Drosophila melanogaster: one gene and its partners. The protein of the gene in region 1 purifies or fractionates together with the protein of each later gene. This does not show direct contact. Each region holds a gene or a part of one and is shown in the gene's direction. Other genes may lie near its edges. The genes, in order: CG4390, Nplp2 and CG34205.

Region 1 (5,553 bases):
GATGGCCCTTGGGTACATATGCACAGGAAAAAATGATATATGTATCTATACACTTAAAATTACACACAATTTTACATAAAAGTCTTAAAAGATGAATATTAAACTTGTTTCATAACAAAAATTAGGGTATTATAGTCACTATATATATATAACTTCTATAGTTCTAGGAAACTGATATTGATGATTTCTATAGTCAGAATTAAACTGCATGACTTAAAACTATTCTACCTCTTACTCAAAAGGGTGTACTAGTCCCATTATGAAATTCGACGAATGTAGCATTTCCGACTTGATAATATTGTGAATATATTTATCATAATTTGAAATAAATCCCTAATCAGTCTATTACTCAGACTCTTTTAAGCAGGAATGAGGATATATGGTAGTCAGAGTCCTTTAGCATTCCTTCTTATGTATCTTAACTTTCAGCTGGCAATATAATTTAAGTATAACTGAGATAATTGCAATGTTAAAGTACAAAAACTTAAGTAGGCTTATATTTAATTTAGTATCATTGCTAGTGAGCACACAAAGCTCAATGTAAACAACATCAAGATGATGTTTCGAGAACGAAACCATGTTCCCCGATTTCTGGAGGCGTCAAACTCATTTAACGCCTAATTACTTTGGGGCCGAGACGCAATCGTGTGAGCAACCGCACACAAATTTCTAAATCCTAATTAGGCGGAAAAACTACCCATCCTGCCCGGAAAAGCAACCCAAATCCCCTGCCTACTTATTGCGCTTTGGCAATCAAAGCCGCTGACAGAAAGTATAAAATTTCAGAGCTCACGTCTGCCGCTCACTTTCGCATTTATGGAAATAATTAAAACTGATTTGCAGGTCGAAACAATTATTGCCTCCTCCTCAATTAGGTTGCGTTCTTCATGCACGACTTTGTCATTCAATTAACCATTGCACTGCCAATAAGTGAGTGGCACATAAAATGTGAGAAAATGCGAACGTGACCTAATAGCCGTGAGCCAGCTTGATGATTGTTATCCTTGGAAAAATCCACAGCAGAGGCAAATTTCCCTACTGCAGCAATTACCAGCATCTGAATAGTGGCTGTCTTAAAGAAATGTGAATGGTGTATACAAACGAGGTAAAAGTATTATGCGTAACCAGAGGAACAGGCAAACCTTCTGCATAAACCCCTCCAATAAAATCGGCTCGACATTGTGGCAGCTAGGATCCTGGAAAATAGAAGTTTTATCCTTTTTGCTCATCCTGGGCAGCTGGGCTGCTTTTAAAGGCTTATGTGCTCATATTTTGCATGCTCGGAGCTAGGGAAAAAGGGTGGGCAGAGAAGCCGGATGGATTTTGGAATTTGTGGCTAAGCATCGATTCGTTACCACTGGCCAATATTTCGGCTTTGTGCTGTGAAACAATGCGGCCTAGAAGTTTGGCAGGAGGTTTTGATTTTAGCGGGCAAAAGTCAAACGAATTCACTTCCGTATAAGTTTGGCCCGCTTTACTACGTTTCCCAGCTTCCAATTCCCCTACTTTCTGTGCCTGTGCTTTCTGATGCGAGCGAAACGGGAAATGAAAGTGCTGACAATTAAATTATGGCTATAAGATTGGGCCAAAATTTTGCCGCTTCAAGAAGGCAGTAGTTTCAGTTGCTTGCCAAGTTTAAATTTGGTCAAAGTTGGCCTTTGATCGTTTCAAACGTCAAGCAATACTCGATCGAAATCACAAAGTTATTGCAGCTCCCTTGGGAATGGGAAGAAATTTCCTTCGTCTGCCCAGTGTGAGTGGTAGAAGCTCATTCGTATATTCCATAGTCGCCTGTTCAAATCTTCCCAAGCGACGGAGCATTGTGCTCAGTTTTGGCCACATTATGACCGAGGTGAGTAAGGCTTTTAGGTCCTGCGGACTAAACATTAATATAAAATCCTCGTTGTGATTAATTTTATAAAATGCTTTTCACGATTAACTTTCCAGTCCCGTCCCTATGTATCAAATTTTAGTATGAATTATAAATAATAATGAATACATACATATATACGTGTTAAAACAACTTACAGATGAACTGCTGTGCATAATTTGTATGTTAACCAATCGTAATAGATCGCCCAAAAATAAGTAAAAATTTTAATAAATACCACAGAACTAGTATTTCTTGGTTGAAAACTTATCAAAATATATTTTTCTAGTTACAAGTAAGAATAGTGATTTATCAGCAATTCTCTTTGGGGCAAAGGGTTTTACAATTTCTTACACGCCACCTATCGGTGGTACAATCCTTACTTTACTTTCTACACTTATGCGGCAAATGTGCTGTAAAATGGATTTTATGTGAAGCATCTAATCAATGTCCCTATTTACTTTCACAACCTGTATAAATGATTTAAAAAAATATTTTAATCACTATCATCCGAAGAAATCTCCTGAGCTTCCTCCCCTGCTTCCGCTTTATCCTCCTTTTTCCCAAATTCCTCCTCCTCATCACTATCTGAGTTTTCCATTGGGTTTGTCTTGAGGCGAGCTATCAGCTCTTTGGCGGGATTGAAAATACCATTTGTTTGCTGGGAACAGATGATGCAGCGCTGTGACTTTTTGTACTGGGCCAAGGCGCACTTTTCACAGAAATAGTGCTTGCACCTGGAAGAAAGATAAATATGTTATTTATTCAGTAAATCCAGTTTAGAAATCGTTATCATCTTCATACTTTGTTACCACGGGATTGACAAAACTCTGTCGGCAGATGTGGCACTTGAAAGGCAGTGTTTCTTCATCGGAGTGAATCTCATACTTGGTATCATCGCCATCGGAGTCTACATCACCCGTTCGCTGATTTTCGTGATCCATTTCCAATTGCCAGCCCGCTTTGTAATCACTGCGATCGTGCAGAAACTTACAGCTGTCGCCAAAGCCGCAATATCCTGTTTCCTTGTAATCCTTGCATATATCCGGCTGATAATCCCACCTGACAGTGGCCCTAAGATGGGCAGGAGCCCTAATTGGGCCACTTCGTACCATTCCGGAGCTGGCATTCCCTGCCGCTGTATCCTGCTTCTTGTAGTACTGCGCATAGTTGTTAATTCCGCGATAGATCTTATCGTCCGCCTTGCCCTCCAGCTCTTCGTTGATTTTCAGAGCTCGCGCATGAATTGCCTGCGCATCGCGATCCAATTCTGTGTCCATTTCGTTAATCGATGTAGCTCCCTGATCTTGGGGTCCACTGGGCAGCGCCTCGCGTTTGGATTTGTACGCAATGCCCAGTTTATCATCGTCGGAGGCTGAGGATGAGCCATCATCACCAACTCCTCCCGCCTGTCTCTTTGCTTTGCTCATTGTCTTGGTGCTCTGGAAGTTGGGATTCGTGCGCTTTCGGCGGTTCTCGGCTCGCACCAGAGCACTGGCTTTGCCTTTGGTCTCTTCATCGCTGCTTTTTGCTGGAATATCAATAATATTTGCCCATTTACTTTGTTGGCGGTAAAATTAAGTTCCTACCAGATTCATCACTGCTGGTTTCCTTTTTGCGACGAATTCCAGCTCCCTTCTTGAGGTTCCGCTTCTTGAAGCCAAAGGACGAGGTGCTAGCCGCTTCTTCCGACATTCTCCGGCTTTTAAATTTATGTACTTATCTAGTAATTCACGTTAACAACAATTAACAATAGCAATTTCGCCAACTGGCGCTTCTTCTTCCCGGCTAGTGATGGTACTTGCGTAACAATCGTTATGGAGTTAGTATTTTTGTATGAAACGGGCACATTAAAATTCAATGTTTACTTATGAGGAATATATTCGTTTGTAATAATTGCAATTTTTACATATTTAATACATCATCAATATGTAATAATTAATAGATTTATATTAATTTAAAGAATTCTAGAAAATATTAACTCCTATGGGATCTACCCTTTTAATCATCGATACCAAGATGTTCTGAAAGCTTCCCACTTTTGGCGCTCTACACGCGGTCACACTGTTTTCTTATCGCTTGTTATTTTTAGATCGTCAAAAAACAAGTGCGTTTTTAAAAATTAATGGATTTCAGTTTTAGCTTACAAATTATTTACTCCGTTTCACCCCCAGAACATGACGCTCGAACAGCTGTCCGCAAATAAGTGCTTCGAGGGCGAGCAACGCGTGTATCGCCATCGCTCGGACACCTTGAAGTGCGACATGACCTTTGGCGTCTTCCTGCCGCCGGCCGCTTTGGAGGGTAAACCGTGTCCGGTGCTGTTCTTCCTCAGCGGACTGACCTGCACGCATGAGAACTTCATCCAGAAGAGCGGATTCCAGCAGCACGCCGCCCGCCACAACCTGATCGTCGTCAATCCGGACACTTCGCCCAGGGGCGTGGAAATTGCCGGCCAAGATGATGCATACGACTTTGGAAGCGGGGCTGGATTCTATGTGGATGCAAAGGAGGAGCCGTGGTCGAAGCACTACAAGATGTACAGCTATGTGACCCAGGAGCTGGTGGATGTGGTCAATGCCAATCTGCCCGTGGTTCCCGGTAAACGCGGTATATTCGGCCACAGTATGGGCGGCCACGGAGCCCTGATCTGCGCGCTTAAGAATCCCGGGCTGTACCAGTCGGTGTCCGCTTTTGCGCCGATTGCCAATCCCACCGAGTGCCCGTGGGGCAAGAAGGCCTTTGCCGGCTATCTGGGCTCCAATCCGGATGACTGGGCCCTGTGGGATGCCACGCATCTGGTGTCGCAGTACGAGAGCACTCCGCAGGAGCTCTTCATCGACCAAGGTGCAGCAGACAACTTCCTGGCCGGCAAGCAGCTGCTGCCGGAGAACCTGCTGGCTGCCGCAGATGGCAATGATCACATCCAGACCATCTTCAAGCAGCGCGAGGGATACGATCACAGCTACTTCTACATCGCCACGTTCGTCGCCGAACACATCGCCTACCATGCCGCCCTGCTCACAGCTTCCGCTTGATGATATTCCGCTTGTACATAATCGTTGGTTTCCACCGAAACCATAATTCAACGTAAATTTGGCAGTAAATAAACCAATTTCGACTGAGCTTCTAAAATGTATTCTTACATTCTTGACTTTAAACTTTGAACTTGGACTTTGAAAAACAAATATTTTTATTCATTCTAGGTGCCAATGTACAGAAGATTATACACAAATGGCGTGTACTTTGTTATTTCGGTTTTAAGTTCAGCAATTTCCTTTCACAAACAAAAACTTAAGTAATGGGTATTCAGCATTCGTCGAATTCCTAAGGACTTTTTCCCGGACTTGTGGTAAGGGTAAAAGCTCGCAACGTAGTAAAAGCTTTCCGGTTGTTGGTCCACGGCATGCTGGAAACTTTCCGCATCCTGGCATCCTGCGTACGATTCATTCATCAGTAGAAAAAACGCCGTCTGATGGAATAGATGTGCTAGTGACAGAGGGAACCGAACCGAACGGAGGTACCAAAAGGCGACATTCTCGACTCGTTTGGCGCCATATTTACTAGGACCAATCGGAGTCGCCAGCTCTGTATTTGCGTGACTGCGTGTGTGCGCGAGATAGTCCTGTTTTTTGGACCCCCCTTTGTTTGTGTAACTTCGCGCGCTTTTGTGTTTTATATAC
Region 2 (3,436 bases), on another chromosome or scaffold:
TAACTGCTAGCAAAAGTTCATCTAAATTCGCAAAAGTTGACTTTTAAAGCTATCAAAACTAGTACGTTGCCAATATAATGTTGCATTTAAAAGTTGCTGTCATACTTATCAGAAAATAAGAAGAAACTTATCTATCTGTTGGCTACAGTAAAAAGTATTTTTACCACTGCTCATATTTCGGGCTAATTACCGAATTTCATGCAAAAATCAAACAGTTTTATATTTAAAACATATGTTCTCTTTCCACCGCAGAATGTCGCAGATTAAGACCCATCGGCAGCTCATGGAGAATGTCCGCCGCAACTACGCCCATGTGCTGGAACTGCAGACGATTCTGGAGCTGCTCCGTCTGCGAACCTACCCCACGTTGGGTCCACCCCTGCCCCAATGTCATCCGCCAGTGCCGGAGCATATCCTCAGTTCGGTGCCCTAGGAGAACTTCAACCCGACCAACCAACAGACCAGACCGTGGGGCTAAGTTTTAGCCACTTGGCGAAATTGCAATTAAATATTTTCATTCCGCCAAATGAAAATTTATTAGTGGTTCTGGGTATCTGGTCTGGGTCTTCTGACTCGTGCTGCCACTTAATTGGGTTTGTTTGTGTCTGGGGAAAATTACGAAAACGAGGCATAAAGTCGTGCACTTTGAGCTCTGTTTGCTGTTTAGTTCGTTGCTCCCGAAACAAACTCTACTCTTGACTAACTACTTTTGGGGCTTAAGTTGGGGGAAACCCTTCAGCATCGCACTTCACATTTATTGTTTTAATGAATTGCCCTTGAAGACACGAGAGTTGATCCGAGAGATCAAACTGTTGCAATATAATACAAATAAAAAACCCCGATTGTCACTTTATATGGCTATCATATCGTGATTACGCTAAAAATACGGCAATACACGACTATTATTCTAATTATTATTACCTCTTTTAACCATTACGTAATCTTCGGATTTACTCCGAGCAGTAAGCCCTTATCTATTCAGCTTTCAAAACCAGAGAACTGTAATTTCTTTACTAAATATGCGAATTCATCATTTAAATTACTTTAACCCCTGGAGGTGAGCTACAGAATACACTATTTTTGTTAGTTCAGTTTTTTTACCGCAGCATCTATGTTGATAATAGTGTTTCGTTATTTCTATTCGCCTTTTAAGATGAGTTCACCATGCTAAATTTACGTTTTTGATATCCAAAGTCTACAAGAGTAGCTCTGTCTAAATATTCTGAAAGCGTTGTTTGGTTTGCCCAAGTCCAATCGCATTTGCATTTCTCCAACTTAGCTTCGCGTTGGAAATTTCCGGGTTGCTTCGTCAAATTTTCTAATACTCGGTATTATAAATATTTATTTTGCGCAATTACATAATTTCGAATGTAGGGCGCCTTATCAAAAGCATTTAAAAAAAACCTTATCACGTGCCACGTGCTTTGCATTGATAGCCGGTAAAATGGAAATTATAGTATAAAATAAAATTGACTATATACCTGTTACTCGTACAGAAAGTCGACTATAGCGTTATCTCTTCACTTTAACTATATATAAATATATATTTAACTAAAAAAAATGCTTACAGAAATATTAAAATATTTGGTCTTTAATGAAAAAAACAAATAAAAGTAGATAAACAATTCCGATTGCTGGATCGAAAGGCCTTCAGAACAGCTTAGCTATGCGAGCCATTGAAATGATAAGCACACATTGTAGGATATGTATATTCCAAATTTATACAGTGGTAATTCCATAATTATTTCTTGTTGAAATTCAAATTAAAAATATTCTTAAATTATATATTTAAATCTTTGTTACGGGCCAAGTGCTAGAATACTGGATTCGAGGATAGGGCAATACCATTAAGTCCTACAGAGATTAACTATTTGGCGGTTGCATAAAGCGGTTATCTTCTGTGACTAAACAAATGTAGACATTCTTGAGCCAAGCAAACGCTCAGCTGTTATGCGAAGCAATCTATTCCAGCATGCTACGGAAAAAAGTACGCTTATCACGGGTCAGCTCCGTAGCTCTAAACGCTCGGCCTTCCTAGTGCCGATAAGCCGGTCTCAAATTCGGCCGGCTGCGGCGCAAAACGAGGTGTCGTTATGAGTAGTTTGGCAGAGGTTCAATCAGTACTCAAGTCATCGTTCTCTAGTTCAGAGTTCCGCAGCAGTTACAAAAAACCAACACAAAAATGGCCAAGCTCGCAATTTGCATCCTCGTGTTCGCCCTGTTCGCCGTAAGTAAAATGCTCAAAGTCCTGGCACACAGATGCAGGACCTATTTTCAGAGATAAACTACAATGTGGCACTTTGATTTCAGTTGGCTCTGTCCGCCCGCGTCCCCCGTGAGGAATCCAATCCTGCCCAAGAATTTCTTACCAAGGCCCAGGGTGATTTCAACGAATTCATTGAAAAGTTGAAGGCGTTGGACGCGAAGAAGGTTGAGGTAATTATAAAGCAATCATATCAAAAATAAAGCGAGTTCTAAGTAATTAATAGTCATTTTTCGTGGAGACGCTTAAAACTCATTCTATCCACTACATACGTATTTTCCATAAAGTATTTACGAATTTCTAACTAACAACTTTTCTCTCTGTGTAGGGTCTCTTCAAGGATGGATTAAATACCGTGCAGGAGGGTCTGCAAAAACTTAACGAAACATTTCTTCAGGCACCAGCCGCATCCACCTAAGACGTTGTTGGATGGCCATATATCATTACATTGAAAACGACTCCAATAAATGTTTTAACTTTAACTTTAGTTGTTACATACATGAAAACTAAAAAATGAAATTAAAACGTTAATTGTTTTTAGCACAAAAACATATATTTGCCTATTACTTTAAAAAATTTTTCCATTCCACTTTCTAGAATAGCTATTTTATTACCTTAAAATTGGTAAAATTGAGATGTTTAGATTGAAAGATGATTTTTTTATTTATATTTCTTTTATTCTGAGAAAATATGCTTCCACGCATGAATTTGACTTGGTTAGGATAAAATTATTATAATTATGCCAATTTTTATTAGTACGGCCACCGAAAATGGTTAATTGCACTTCCTACAAGCTAAGTTATGGAACTTTTCTATACCGTTTTCACTGTGTTATTAAAGATTTTAGATGCTGAAGAGTGCTGATCTCGCTCTTCTTCGAAGAAAATTGCAGAAAATCAAAAATTATTGCCATGATTTGAGTTTCGTAAGAACAACTGGCTTTGAAACGGTAGCACGCGTGAAATATTTGTCAGCTATTTTGCACACCTGTTTGGCGCAGCCAACTCGGGGAATGGAGGACGAAATGTGAGGGCTTTCGAAACCATGAATAATGTATTGGCATTTGTACGGCATCGCATCTCGGGGAATCCCCTCCGATCGCCCAATCTAACTTCATCGCCGCGCACGATTGCATAATACCAAAGTGGATTTTTGCTTCTTCCAAGGGATTTC
Region 3 (3,427 bases), on another chromosome or scaffold:
CGGCTAAAGACTCGCCTCTCGATCGAAGCCATAAAAACCAAGACGAGGATCGATCGGCTGATCGCCTTAAATCGTCATTTAGTATGTGGCAATTTGGCATTCGAGTTTGCCACCCTTCTGATCCACCGACCGATTGCTGGAAAATTGCTTTCCACCTGGCCAAAATGTGGGGCAGTGGCTGGGAAATCTTTTATTTATGAGGACCGGCGACACACCGACCACAACACACAACACCGATCTGTCCGCATCTGTCCGGATCGAATTGGACATGGAACACTTGTTTGGCAGTCGCCGACCACTGGCAACAATTGCTCCTATTGACTTAATATTTGCTAATAGAATTCACATAAATCACATTCCACTGGCATGCATGATTTATGCATGAACTGCGATCGCAGGTGACTCTCTGTCTCTTTTGCGGCGTTTCGTGCTGTCCTTTTCTCATTGTGCTAAGTTTTTTTTCGAGTTTTTTTTACGAGATTTCGGCGTTGAAGTGGTGTTTTCGAGACCTCTTGAGAGGAACTCCACTGAAGTGCTGCAAGTTGCATGCGCTAATCTGAGACATTATGTGCTTTCCAAACTTTAGTTTCTTAACCCTAATATATAAAGCAAGTATTTAAACACGGACTACCTTATTGTCTCAAAAAGTTATGTAAAGTCCACAAAAATATAAATCATTTAAGAAATGAATATATACACCATATCTATACTTAAAGCGAATAAGTGATATAATGATTACTTGAGACACTATTAATCCGTGATAAGGATCACGACGAGCATTCTCAACAATTTGTAGCATTATTAATTTTGTGATGACCCAATGTCACACCTCCGTACCCCCGCACATCCCGTGGGGTTAATCAAGTCGGCCATAAAAAATCCCACGAACTGCCAGATGCTGAACCGGCAATTTCAGCCGGCAAAGTCGATGGATCGATGGCGAGTTGAAGCTGGAGCTGGAGCTGGCGAACTGGGGCCTCCACTCGATCCAAACCCCCTCGCCACGCACGAGTGTCCTCGAGACGAGACGGCGTGGCTGCGGCTGAAATCACCCATCCAATATGGTCAAATGTGGCACGCAGCGGCATTCGAGGCACGATAAAGATAAATATGAAGCTCGCCTAGATATTTCGGCCAGAGGGGATTGCTGCTTGGTGTTTGGTTTTGGCGTTTGCCGATTTGGCAAGCGTTCATTATGCAATTTGGAGAGAATTTCCCAGCGCCACGCCGAGAATTGTTTCGAGAATACTCAAACATAGCAACGAAAACAATTAGACGGCATTCTACGTTGGCTAATTAAGTTGTTAGTGGCAAGGCTGCGTGCTTTCGAGGGGCGTGTCACCTGGCGCGTTGCCCAAATTGGCCAGCTAATCAGCGATTTCAATTAGCGTGCGCTTTCCAAATGCGAGCCACAATGGCACCCCCAGTGTAAAGACCGCCTTTCCTGCGGCGACTCCTTAGCCGGCAAGTGGTCTGCCTTCGGTTCGGAGCTCCCAACTCCCAGCTCCAGTTCAGGTTGCGTCATCCGCGTTTGGGGGCTCTCCAATCCGAGCTGCGTCTACGAGAATTGCAGTTTCACTGCAGCCGAGATACTTCACAAATTGGTGCTGCTTGGCCCGCTTTGTTGACTGCTGTCTGCTGACTGTTTGTCCGTCCGAGGCTCAGATCGAAATCTAGTCAAGATCTGTCCGCTCGACCACCTGTCCTCCGGTCCGCAGTTCGCAGTCCGCTCGAGAGTGCGAGTGCGTGGTCTGCCGTCGAGGGGTATAAAAGTAACGCAATGCACACGTCCACTTACAGTTGCAATTCTCCCTCCAAGCCAAGTGATTCGTTATCCAGCGCTAGCATGAAACTTCTGGTGAGTGGAAAGGGTTGGAAAGGATGCGGCCTAGGATCAGTATTATCACTTTAAGCCAATAATACTGACTGCAAAGGATATCTTCATACAAGGATTACCTCGATCTTATATTCACTAGATCAAAAAGATTAACATCAAAGTTTGGTTTTCCATTTACCTCGCCAGATCCTTACCTCTCTGCTGGCTGTGGCCACTGCTGCTCCTGGACTCCTTGATTATGGACACTCGGCTCCGGACTACAGCTACGCCCATGCCGCTCCTGCCATAACATATGCAGCTGCAGCTCCAGTCATCAAGTCCTACGCTGCCCCAGCCATCACCTATGCGGCTCCAGCTCCGGTGATCAAGTCCTATGCCGCTCCAGCCATCAGCTACGCCCATGCCGCTCCTGCCATCAGCTACGCCGCTCCCACGGTGGTCAAGTCCTATGCTGCTCCTGTGGCGGTCAAGGTGGCAGCTCCAGCCACCAGCTACTCGCACTTCAGCTCGGTAAGATCTGGATATACTCTGATATTTTCCCATTTAATCTTACAATCTACTTTGCATGCACAGGTTGTTTCCCATGCCACGCCCATTGTTAAGTCGTACGCTGCGCCTGCCATCGCCTATGCTGCTCCAGCTCCGGTGATCAAGTCCTATGCCGCTCCAGCCATCAGTTACGCCCATGCCGCTCCAGCCATCAGCTACGCTGCTCCCACGGTGGTCAAGTCATATGCGGCTCCAGCCATCAGCTACGCAGCTCCTGCCCTGGTTAAGTCATACGCTGCACCTGCCCTGTCCCTGGGTGGATACGGTTACCACTAAGCTCCGATACCAAAACACTCCAAATCCAAATCGATCCCGGATCGGAGTTGGAACAATGGCAGCAATTAACTGCGAGGAGTCGCAACAGCCCAGCACGCTCTCCCACTTTTTCAACTTGTAGTCGCAAAATCTTCACAATCTTCTCTGTTTACTTCTTATTTATTTAAGAACCATTAATATTCTCTCAAATGCACAATAAAGAAAAATTCTGTTTTTCAAAACCCACTCGTAATATCTACGATGGCAAAGGTTATAATGACCAAGATTGAACTCAGGTTGTTCAGGATCTTGGCCATATGGTGCCAGGGATTCTCCTGAATGTCGCAATAGTCGGTAGACTGTAGGAATATAGTGAATTGCAATACGTATATGTGTTCAATAGGGGCTTAACTACTCACATCCGAAAATCTCAATCCCAGAATGCATCGCAGAACATTGGAGTTAATCACCCTAACCAGCCAGCCAGGAGCCTTCGATCTGGGTGGATATAGATCCAGCCATATAATGCAGATGTGCAGAATGTAGCAATAGGTGGTGGTCATCATGATGACTTTATATGCAGTCACTGTAGGAAAAGTGAAAATTTGAATTTGAAAATTATACACAGTGAGTTTTAGTTAATTGATTTAAAACTTACTCATGGGCGGCACATAATGCGGAGAGGCGTAGCGCGTCATGTACATTAAACCCCAGGCGGCAATCAGCAAGGCGATGAGAATGAGGGAACTCCTACGAGTAGAACGCAGTACAAAGGACAAAATCAGG

The links.
Region 2: the proteins of CG4390 (region 1) and Nplp2 purify together in Drosophila melanogaster (affinity purification with mass spectrometry, with the first as the bait; one large-scale study listed by BioGRID). This does not show direct contact.
Region 3: the proteins of CG4390 (region 1) and CG34205 purify together in Drosophila melanogaster (affinity purification with mass spectrometry, with the first as the bait; one large-scale study listed by BioGRID). This does not show direct contact.

Annotation. Positions count from the first base shown.
Region 1 is NT_033777.3:20,055,866-20,061,418, reverse strand, and holds CG4390 (uncharacterized protein), read left to right. Parts: upstream 1-1,668; 5' UTR 1,669-1,723; coding exon 1,724-1,852; intron 1,853-2,127; exon of another isoform or gene 2,128-2,366; coding exon of another isoform or gene 2,367-2,607; intron 2,608-2,674; coding exon of another isoform or gene 2,675-3,401; intron 3,402-3,459; coding exon of another isoform or gene 3,460-3,565; exon of another isoform or gene 3,566-3,671; intron 3,672-3,928; exon of another isoform or gene 3,929-3,977; intron 3,978-4,044; coding exon 4,045-4,908; 3' UTR 4,909-5,001; downstream 5,002-5,553. Other genes in the region: mdlc (midlife crisis), read right to left, coding at 2,367-2,607, 2,675-3,401, 3,460-3,565.
Region 2 is NT_037436.4:13,354,417-13,357,852, forward strand, and holds Nplp2 (Neuropeptide-like precursor 2), read left to right. Parts: upstream 1-1,959; 5' UTR 1,960-2,182; coding exon 2,183-2,227; intron 2,228-2,310; coding exon 2,311-2,436; intron 2,437-2,591; coding exon 2,592-2,681; coding exon of another isoform or gene 2,682-2,780; 3' UTR 2,781-2,807; downstream 2,808-3,436. Other genes in the region: CG17687 (uncharacterized protein), read left to right, coding at 253-433.
Region 3 is NT_033778.4:22,129,564-22,132,990, reverse strand, and holds CG34205 (uncharacterized protein), read left to right. Parts: upstream 1-1,691; 5' UTR 1,692-1,780; coding exon 1,781-1,858; intron 1,859-2,023; coding exon 2,024-2,347; intron 2,348-2,410; coding exon 2,411-2,662; 3' UTR 2,663-2,877; downstream 2,878-3,427. Other genes in the region: NtR, read right to left, coding at 2,878-3,000, 3,061-3,227, 3,300-3,427.